2 linked regions of the Schizosaccharomyces pombe genome follow. The gene in region 2 interacts genetically with the main gene of each other region. Each region holds a gene or a part of one and is shown on either strand. Other genes may lie near its edges.

What was found. Genes that interact genetically often act in the same process or in processes that back each other up.
Region 1: mutations in psu2 (region 2) and aga1 together harm fitness more than expected from each alone (negative genetic interaction), as found in Schizosaccharomyces pombe (one large-scale study listed by BioGRID).

What each region holds. Positions count from the first base shown.
Region 1 is NC_003423.3:336,395-340,154, reverse strand, and holds the start of aga1 (glutamate N-acetyltransferase), read left to right. Parts: upstream 1-1,874; 5' UTR 1,875-2,016; coding exon 2,017-3,354; 3' UTR 3,355-3,706; coding exon of another isoform or gene 3,707-3,760. Other genes in the region: mti2 (translation initiation factor IF-2Mt), read right to left, coding at 3,707-3,760.
Region 2 is NC_003423.3:3,464,708-3,472,589, reverse strand, and holds psu2 (beta-glucosidase Psu2), read left to right. Parts: upstream 1-4,772; 5' UTR 4,773-5,060; coding exon 5,061-6,020; 3' UTR 6,021-6,320; downstream 6,321-7,882. Other genes in the region: synaptonemal complex-associated protein hop1, read right to left, coding at 1-128, 177-271; cullin 1 adaptor protein Pop1, read right to left, coding at 920-3,247; mpi1 (mannose-6-phosphate isomerase), read right to left, coding at 6,438-7,550, 7,600-7,725.

The sequences.
Region 1 (3,760 bases), 3.1 Mb from region 2:
AAAGGTATCTTATATTACCAAGGCTTAGGCTTTCGTTTGTTTATGCTATCAGTCGCTTGCTAATATTTGATTGGCTCTTCTTTCAGTAAACTAACAAAGCATTGGAGCTTTTATAAACTACGTCATTTAAGTAGGCGTGAACTAAATTATTGGACAGAATTGAGTTTCTTTCACTATGCATTGGAAATTCCTATAAATAGTCGATGAAGTCTGCGAAACAAGGGAGGTAAACAGACTTAGTGGGTATTAAAATGTTGGTCAATCTTCTGCCGTCTTGATTTAAAAGCACTTCTCTTTTACTATTGTAAGACGGAATATGCATGCAAGATCGCTTTAGTTGGTTGAATGTCTCTTTCTTTGTGTTGTGGTTTGTTCGTTTTTTTCTAATTTGGAATATTATAAGAAACGTTGTTTTCTTGCAACATTTTGAAATGGTCATTCAAAAAGCTGGATTCGGTACCACTTTTCTTTTTACCTTGTCTTCTAAGCTCTGTTAAATTTCTTGATGGGGTCCAGTTAAACCAACCCCCAAGTTGGTTTATGTGAGCCTTGTCTCTTTTTTGGATGAATAGTAGCTTAGATAGTGATAGTTATTATTATGACTGATGGAATCTACTTAAAAATGGATTCCATTTTTTGTCTACTGTAATTGAATTCTTTTTGGTACACTTTTTGGCTGCATTGTTATCCTTGAAAGCACTTACAATGTTTAAACTTTGCGAATGACTGAAACAGAAAAGAAATAAAACGACTGTACCTGAACTATTGTTGAAACAATATTAAAACGTATTCCTGAAACAGATTAAACTACATTAAATTTTGTTAATGAATTAAACGTGAAACTTGAAAGTTTGATGCGAAACAAAACCCGCAGTTTGTTTAAACGCTTATTTGTGATTAAAATTGATGAACCAGTTTAAACTATGAAAGTGTTTGAAAACGTGCTGAAACCATTCGTTAAACCCTGCAAACCAACATAAAAAAAATTGAAAATAAACAATAACCACAGCAAGCTAATTCAATTCCAACAATGGTATGTTGCATTGGTCTTCGGTTGTGCTGTGCTCCCTCTTTTTTTGAGCATAGTTAAAACCATTAATACTATTTAAACATTTCTCTTTAAAAAAGAGAAGAGAATAGCAACACATAGAATTTCCAAATTCAACATGCCTTCAAATTTGAAATCGCAAGGAACAGCTATTAATGAATGAAACGAGTTAAATTGAAATAAATCAAACACTATAAAGATTATTATTCTATTTCTTGCTTAAAACACACTTTAAGGAATTGAAATTTTTCACGTAAAATGTTGATGAACTGGCTTTAAATTTACATGCAAGTCTTGATTGTGAAATGATGCGTTGGAAGCATGAATTGGTATTTTCTTTTTTAAAAAAAGCAATGAAAAGTTTGAAAAAGGCAATAAAACTTGGAGGTGGTTGGACTTTGCCGATTTCACGAAGTTTTTCTTTGCTGTTTGAAACTCAACCAAATAAATTAAACAGTGGTAGCAGCCCCAATTAAACTGAAAATCTATCAGTTATATGTTCATGAATGTGTAAAAGCAGCAGAACAGACAGATCCCAGCATTTTTCCCTTCTCTTTGCACTACATTATGAGAGGGATAACTGATATTCTGTAATGTAGATCTGAGAAAACGAAGGCAAAGCTAATCCCGAATGTAAGGTTTAGGGAGCTACTTGTTTTCATCCTTTCGAACGTAAGGCTCATAAAGTATCATTAATTAAACGTAAGAATAATAAATTTCAAACAAATTAGTTGTTCGCTATACCTACTTTTGTTGTGCAGCATTCCCATCTTCTTATCAAGTTTCACTTGATAACCGCTTCGAAGATTCAGACTTCATCCTTCTTAAACCACTACCGCCATCGCATATATATATTTATATACAAAGCAAGTTTACATTATTGTAGCTTTTATTAAACTGCTCGTTCAATTCTACTAAAAAAGGGATCCACTGATTTTGTTACAAGACTGACCATTAAATTCATTGCTATGCAAACCAAAATTTTTGCACGTCTTGCTGGCATTGGTCGGGCTCGGTTTGTTGGTACGATGCCCGACAAGACCAAATTCATCAGTAAATCTGGAACGTATCCACAAGGTTTCAGCTTAAATGGTATTGCTTCCGGCGTAAAAGCCAATGGAAAAAAGGATTTAGCCATTTTATTTTCCTCTCGACCATGCAACGCCGCAGCCGTCTTTACTAAGAATGCATTTCAAGCTGCTCCAGTTCAAGTTTCACGCCAAACTCTGAACGGCTGTGGCGGTAAAGATATTCACTGTGTCGTGTTCAATAGCGGTTGCGCTAACGCTGTTACTGGTGAGGGCGGTTTGATGGATGCCCAACTCATTACCGCCGAAGCTGATAATTTGACTCGTCCACATTGGACTTCGTGGACTGAGAATTCAGAGGAATTTCCCTCGTCGTTGGTGATGTCGACTGGTGTTATTGGACAACGTTTGAAGTTAGACAAGATTCAAAGCGGTTTGGAACACGCGGTTGAAGACCTCGGGTCCACTCATGAATACTGGATGAGAGCAGCTGAGGCCATTTGCACTACGGATACTTTCCCTAAACTCGTTTCCCGTGAACTTAGTATTGCAGGCAAAGTCTACAGGATTGCAGGTTTTGCCAAGGGCGCAGGTATGATCAATCCCAACTTGGCCACTCTTTTAGGTTTGTTTGTTACAGATGCCCCAATCTCAGTTGATGCAGTCCGATCTATACTTCGTCATGCAATTAACAACAGTTTCAATTCTATCAGTATTGATGGTGATACGAGTACAAATGATACAATTGCCTTCCTTGCAAATGGAGCTGCTGGTGGATCCGAGATTACCAAGTCTTCCCCTGCATACAAGGAGATTCGTGATGCTGTAACGGATATTGCTCAACAACTTGCAAAGCTGGTTGTCCGTGACGGTGAGGGTGCTACGAAATTCGTTACTGTGCAAGTCAGAGGCGCTAGATCAGAGAAAGACGCTGCGTTGGTGGCATCAACCATTAGTAACTCTGCATTGGTGAAAACGGCATTCTTTGGTGAGGACGCTAACTGGGGTCGTATTTTGTGTGCCGTCGGTTATTCAGGTGCTGCTGTCAATCCTCCTGCTACGACCGTTAGTTTTATTCCTGCAGACGGAACTGAACCATTGAAGCTTTTAGTAAATGGTGAACCACAAAATGTCGATGAGACCCGTGCTAGCGAAATATTATCGCAAGACGAACTCACTGTAGACGTTGATCTTGGATGTGGTCCTTATGCCAAAACAAATTGGACTTGCGATTTTTCGTATGACTATGTTCGTATTAATGCTGATTATCGCAGTTAAAAAAGAACAGTGGTCAGTTACCAAATTAACCAAGAGTGAGCTCTACGCTTTGATACCAAGAAAGCTTCATGTTTTTACAGCTTTAAACTCTTCAATTCAATTTGATGAACATACACGACGTTCGTTTACAATACGTGTCTAACAGAAAAAAAGGATTGCTGAGATGCATTCATTAACAAAAAAGTATGTATAAAAAGCTTTGCTTGCTTATGGTAGAAGTTTGCAATTTTAAGCGAAAGTTCATTATGCATGTAACATCAATCATAGTATATCATAATAACATGAATCTTTTCATTCGATTGCCTGCCTTAATTGAAAGGAGTTCAAGCCAGGATTAAATAAGAAGTGCATGCTAAAAATCAGGAGGTTTGTATTCCTCAACAAATGTTTGTAGCTTATCCCCTGT
Region 2 (7,882 bases):
CTGCTTCTTTGTCCACTCCAGCTTGTAAAGAAACCACAGTAGGTTTCAATTGACAATCAAAGTCAGCTCCTTTAAAATGTTCAATTTCGAAATTGACTTTCTTGTAGCAGTTTTCATTGAAAAGAGCACTTGCCTTCTGTTAGCTATTTTAATTTAAAAATTATATGTCTGCGTACCGCTTATAGCATAATGTTGATATCGCGAAGAAAATTAAATTTTTAAGAGTAAAGTCAGACTTAGTTTGCAGAATTTCCTCTTTGTATGAATTCATTTGTCATTTATACTTAGAAGTAAAGGGTATTTGATAAGTTGATATCTATATATGGTAATTTTGTGAACGCGTCGAACGCGTCTTAAGTGTACGTATATTACAGTCCCACCTGTGGTTTTCCAACACTTTAAACTACACTAAAATGGCTTACATAGATAAATGGAATGCGAAAAGCATGTTTTACGATGAAGACATTTGGTAGCTTATGAAGTAATGTAAAAGCCTTTTGTTAAATTAAATGTCTTTTTACATTTACAAAGCTAAAATGTTTGTTTTTTTATTTACTATAGTTTGCTAATTATAAAAATATAGTACGCTTTTGGGTAGAATGGACGCTATTTGAAGCTAAGGATTCAAGAAATTCGCTTATCCCTTTGGTAAAAAAATTTTGGCCTCAACAAACGAATTTAACACTAAATAATTTATAAATGTAGAATAGATCATTTAAAAAAATATTATTTTGCATTCTTATTAGATATTTAAAAAAGAAAATTATGAGTAAACATTTAAAAGTCAACAAACAATTAGACAAATATTATATGATAGAGGAGTTTCCAGAATAAATAGCATGAATCTATTTCAGTTTGGAAACGTAAAATAAAATTTCGAGATCTTTTATAGATTTCTAGTATCTCAACTTATAAAAGCTCAAGAAGATTTAGTAGATCCAAACTCTAGGACCTCGATCCAAAAACGGTTATTTCTTAAAACAGCAGCCACACATACATTTTCATTATAAGCAACTTGCCAGATTATATCCAAATCAGTCAATAGGTCTCTTACTAACTTTCCGGAACGAATGTCCCATAACTGTAGCGTACTATGGCTTCCACTGACAACTTTGCTCTCGTCGTGTTGAAAAAATATGTGTCCCAAAGGACATTTTAAAATATCTCGACAACTTCCGGTGTTTAGATCCCAAACTCTCAACGATGTATCAGGAGGAGCAGAAGCGGATACCAAGATATTTTGGTTAAATGTAACTTGACTTACCAAATTCGAATGACCATGAAGGGTCTGTAGAAGTTCTCCAGACTCAAGGTTCCAAATACGAATTTTAGCATCCGTACCAGCGCTGATACATTGTTGACGAGAAGGATTAATTGTGACACTGTATACTCTCCCGACGTGTCCCCGAAGAACATGTAAACAAACGCCAGTAGATGCCTTCCATACTCTAAGAGTACCATCATAACTGGCACTGACAATCAAATCTCCAAGACAAGCAACTTCACGTACCGAGTCCGTATGACCACGTAATGTTCGGATGTAAAACGGATTGGTCGTAGCTGAAGTAAAGTCATTATTCTGATCAGGATTTTCATTTACATTAACAAATGGTGGATCGTCAAGGCATGGAAGACTCCATAAACGGATCGTACAATCCCTTGAACTTGAAATTATATACGGAGGCATTGAATTAGCATCATTTGAAGCTGGTCTGTTTTCTTTTTCCACATCATCAGTATCAGTAGTACTTTGATTGCCTTGAACTATTTTGATACAACGGATTGTTGACGTGTGTCCATAAAACACCTGTTTACATTCACCGGTTCTAAGGTCCCAGACTCTTACTGTCCTGTCTGTGGAGCCAGTAACCAAAGTATCCCCAACGTATTCAAAAGTCCAAACATCACCTTCATGCTCTTCTAAACTGCGTATCAGGACACCTGTTTTCGTGTCATATATATTAATTCTAGGACTGCAGGTGCTAACAATTATTTTGTCATCATCAAACTGAAGTTTGGTAATAAGACGAACTCCATGAATTGGGAATGAACATCGCTTAATTTTCTCCGGGGCATGGAGCCATCTTTCACGAAGATTAAAATGTCTAAAATAGACCCGCTTCATTATCGCACAGGCTGACAAAGATTGTTCTAAACACATCGTACGGATTTTACTATCAATTGAATCCCAAAAGAAACCATCTTTTAAAAAGAGACTTTTCCAAAGTTCTTCGTTGGACGATACCAACTTATACCAGTGATGCGAAACTTGCGAAACTGCACACAATGAAGGTGCATCTAAATGCGTAAGCACTAAATTTGTAATCTCAGCCGGAAATCCAGTTAAAAAGTTCTTTTGAAAGATAGGAAGCAGAATTTTGTGAATATTTTGAACAGCATGTTTTCCACATCGAGAAAGAAGATGAAAAAGTAAGTATTGACGAACACTTTCGGGTAATTTTTCGAAGGAAGAAATTAATTGTGCTAATTTCAAAACAGCATTTTTTTGAGAGCTCAAATGATTAGAAGGATGAATGCTAGGATTTTCTGAAGAAAAATCATATATGACAGGTTCATGCAAAGAATTATGTGAAGATGAAGATGAATGAGGGGGAAAAGATTGACGGGTTTTGGAATCGTTGCCGAGTAAATTAGGAGAAAAATAAGAGTAATTAACAGAATTATTTGGTGCATCAAGTGAGAATGTTGTTTCACTAGCGACTTCCTTACTGTCACAGTTGTTTGGGTAGAAAACGTTCGAGTAGTTAGTAGAAGGAAAAGTTTCATTCTTTTTATTCCCATCACTTTGAGAATTGAAGAGAAACCGCTTATTAGCATGCAAATTAGAGCTGAGACTAGAGTTACGGCGTTTAAGGCACTTTTCGCGATGCTCTGACGGCAGCTCACAACTCAAATGGGGCCGGTTAAGATCACAATGTAGATATAAAAGATTTTGCAAGTTTTCCAAATTTTCTTTATCAGATAAACATCGATTGTTAGTAAATATCATCGATTGCTGACTTCCCTTGCTATCAAATTGTAGACTAACACGACTAAGCTCCTCGGGAATTCTGGTCATTATATTATTTCCTTCCAGGAGATCTTTTTTAGTGGAACATGGAGAAAATCTCTCGACATTTGGCCGGGGAGAAGAGGAAACATCAATACTCGGTGATACCATAGTTGTCTCACCGAAAAATTCATTGGAATCTAAAACAGATAGGCTATCTTTTTTCTTCTCATTCATTTCAAGTAGTTTACAGACACTTAGTAGAAAAGTATTTGTCAAGTTCTTTTATGATGTTAGAGAACCTGGTTCAAGAATCGATACTGATGAATTTACTTAAAACAACTGCCCGTTGGGAAACATGTATATGAAATTATTTTGCAAATAGTTATCGTCTTAATGCATTAGAGCAATACTTTTTCTTGGTTTTTTTGAAGTTCAGCGAGATAGATCGTAAAGACCATAAACTCTTGGCAATGAATTTTAAATTCACTCTACGCAAGCGGAGGTGTAAGTAACACCAGAATAAGTAACAATTTTACTGTTGATTAAGAAAAGTTTTTATAGTTTATGGTAAATACGACTAAATCGCGACATAACAATAGTTCAATAAGAAAAGTTATATGACTTAGTTATGGCTCCTCAATATTATTTTTTTTTACATTATTTGCGATAGTGTTTTAATTGTATACCAGATATTAACCTCCTCAGCATTTTCAAATAAATTCTCTAAAGACAAAAACAATGAACACGTGAAGTATTCATATTATAAAATTGTCTTTTCCGTTGCGTTTTTGCAGCTAAAGAATGCAGACACAATAGTAGCTCGCGAATTTCATTACACGCCAATAAAGTTGGGAAAGAGATTACCCTCCCCTGTCATATTCTAAATGACACGGACACATATAATAATTTATTAATAAAATTTGAGCATGAGCGTAAAATGTAAAATGTCAGACTAAGATGGCGTTTCTAGTACATCATTTTCTTAGGCCGTTGAAAGAAATTTTTTGTCTCGTCAATGACATGCATCGGGTAATTTCGGCAGGCATTGGGCTATTATTCGACTTCTCTCCATTCAAAATTTGACTTAATCTCAGTATCCAAAGAAGCGTCAAATACGCTACCAAGATAAATAATTAAATTGTTATCCGTAAAAGTTCTTAGCATAGCAAACCGATAAACCGAGTGTAAACACGATATTAATTAATTAATATTATATCATATTTAATGAGCTGCAGAACATCATTTGCCGAAATGCACCGAGCCTCTTATATCTAGGATGATTTGTATGTACCAGATTACTTTCCCAAGAGATTATTAAATATATTTAATAGTATTAGGAGAAAATCAATATAACGTTGAGTCGAGCCAACGTATTTGTAAGTTAGGTATACAGGGATGTCATTAGGCTTACGTACACCGCGCAATTCAATTGCAAAAGGCCCAGGGGACCAAGAACTTCCTTATGATAAGAAAGCTAAAGCGATAAACAAAAATTAAATTACTTGGCTTGGAAATAATAATAATTTGCTTTGAAATGAATGATTGAACGCCCCGCGACCCCGGGACAGTATAAATTTTCCTGGGGTAGATCAAATTCACGCATTTAATTGGTTGAATTTATCAACTGACTTTTAAGTTCATTTTTAATTAAGTTATCAGCCAATGAATACAAAGCCGATAGCAAGGCAAGCAATGATTGGAGCGCAATAGTTGACTGTTTTGGCGCTAATTATTTCGGGTTTATGGTTAGAAATTTTCTGAAAAAATCAACGTTGAAAACTTACAGGCTTTCATGGTTAATTAGTGGCAAAACGCCACGGCTCTTAATCAAAAGATGGTGAAGTGCTTGAAAAAAGAAATGTATATAAAGCTGAGCTGATTTTTAGGGAAAAGCCGTGAGCTGAAATTAAACAATCAGAACCGCAAAAGGTAAAGACCATTATATTCTTTACCATCTTTCTTTTATTTTCTAGTATCAAGTTACTAGCATATCCTATCGTTTATAAAGTCAATCGTTAGATTCCTGTCAAATCTTTTAAATCTAAAAATGCTCTTTAACAACTTTCTTTGTTTTGCGGTTTCCGCCATTCCTTTGGTTTCAGCTATGCCTCTTGGTAATGCTCCCTATCACCATCACCATCATGCCGGTTTGAATGCTAGCAATATAACTGTTGGTGTCAATGTCACAAACACTACCGCTTTTTCAAAAAGAGACGGTGGTTTTCCTGACGGCGTATACGACTGCTCCTCTTTTCCTGATGATCAAAATGGCGTTGTCCGCCTTGATTACTTAGGTTTTGGAGGATGGTCTGGTGTTCAGAAGAATGATGGTAAATACGGAACAGCTTCTACATGCCAAGATAACACATACTGTTCCTATGCATGCAAGCCCGGAATGTCTAAGACCCAATGGCCGTCTGAGCAGCCTGACAATGGCGTTTCCGTTGGTGGTTTGTATTGCAAGAACGGTAAATTATATCTCACCCAGAAGGATAATTCTAATCTTTGTGAAGATGGAAAGGGTACTGCCTATGTTAAAAATACATTGAGTTCCAATGTCGCAATTTGCCGTACCGATTACCCCGGAACTGAGAACATGAATATCCCTACCAATATTGATGGTGGTTCAAAACAACCTCTTTCTGATGTTGATGAAGATTCATACTATAATTGGGGAGGAAAGAAGACATCCGCTCAATACTATGTTAATAAATCTGGCAGAAGTGCAGAAGATGTCTGTGTTTGGGGTAATGAGGGCGATGATTATGGCAATTGGGCTCCTATGAACTTCGGGTCTGGTTACACTGACGGCAAGACTTGGCTTTCTATGTCTTTCAATCCTTTATCATCTGCTAAACTTGATTACAATATCCGTATTAAATCTGATGGTGGGTCCCTTAGTGGTGATTGCTACTATGAAGACGGATCATTCCATGGTTCCACCGCTGACAGCAGTGGTTGTACAGTCTCTGTCACCGGAGGCAATGCCTACTTTGAGTTGTACTAAATTGCGTGTTAAAAGTGGATGCTTGGTCAAAAAAATTTGTTTATTAGAATTATTTTTGCATTCGTTTTACTTTTGTCATTCCCATTTTTATGCTTTATTTCGTTGTTGATTAGTTTTCGCATTTTTTTTCTGGTTTCATTTTTTTTATTTTTTTCATTTTTTTCATTTTTCTTCTGGATTCATTTTTTATTTTATTTTTGGGGTTCATCTTCTTCATTTCATTTTTTTGTCTATATTTCTTCTCTACATTTTGTTACATTTCTTAAAAACGCTCATTATTTATGCATTGCATCTACGAAAAAATAAATTTGTTTTTACTTAATTTTGTCCATCCTATCCAGTATCGTTAAAAATTTAAAAATTCCATGTATTGTTTTATTATAATGGTGCTGATAGTAGTAAAAAGCTGCAGAGTAACTAAATCTCACAGAATGCCTGGTAAACGACAACAGGTTCTGAAGTCGCAGAGATCGTTAATGGAAAATTTGCGGAAATAAAATAAACAAATCCAGGAGATATCGATGCTACATCTCCTTTGTCTCCATTCAATATGCCTGAACCCTCAGTAACAAGTAAAATGCTAGGGCCATTGATTCCGCGTATGCATTGTTTTTGACCAGGAGAAACCTTGGTTTGCAAAATGCTAAACTCTTCGATCGGGGGATCATATAACAGAGTTTTGCCAGATCCACAAGCTTTGGCAAATGGTACAGGTTGGGTAAGTTGGGATTTGGCATCCGCAGTCTGATAAGTGAGATTATTTACGAGAGTTTCTATGTCCTTAAACTTTGGCGTAAAGCCAAGACGGATAACGTTATCACTGGCAGCCATGCACTCAATTATATTTCCAGAAACATAAGCATGTGGATCTAAGGCACGAAGAAAAACGGCTTCTCCTGGATGTAATCGAACGTAGTTAAGAAAAGGAGTAACAAATAATCCGATGTCATCCGGAAATTGACTATTGAGATGAATAATTAAATCGCTAAATGCTTTTCCGCCGTATTCCGTTCCACCAAAGTTGTTAGCATCACTTTTTGCTAGTTGAACAAGCTGAGGAGTAAATTCTTGAATCCTTTTTTCGTCTTTGTGCATTAACTCATTAAATAAAGTTTCCAATGCTTTTCTCTCGTCTTGCTTCACGGTACCTTTAAATTGACGAACAGCTTCTTCACCGACAAATTCACGCAAAGGAGCTATACTGTCAAGGAACTGTTCGATTTGCTTTACTGGTCGAAAACCACAAAGAGCGTCGAATTCTGTCAATGCAACTGCCATTTCTGGCTTATGATTATCGTCCTTGTACTCTTTCGGATTCGTTTTGTGAAGTTGTTTACCAAGGGGTTTGTCAGGATGAGCCTGAATAGACAGCACCTTATTTATCGATAAAACTTTGAATAAAAAGGGGAGTTGTTTCCCATATTTCTTGTACACTTTTTCTCCAACGGTTTCTGGAGTTAACAACTCACTCAACGGCTTACCAGTTTGCATAACAAAGGAAGGGCCAGAAGGATGAGAACCCATCCACAACTGTATAGAAAATTCAATTAGTATAGAATTAACCAAGCCTTTTGCATACCTCAGCGTATGGGGTATTAGGATCAACCTCGAAACCGTATCCAGCCTCAGCTAATTTCGCGGCTAAAGACTCGTGACCAACTTTTCCCCATCCATAACTTTTAACATCACATTTGAGACGATACATAATTAATTAAATTCAAGATTTCTTTATAAGCCTTTATTTGGCTGTGAGAACGAATTATACGATGAACGACGGCTTATAGCGTGGATACGTGCTACTAGATGAACCTTACCTTCAAAACTAAGGAAGCACATAATGCATATGGTTATAGCCAATACTA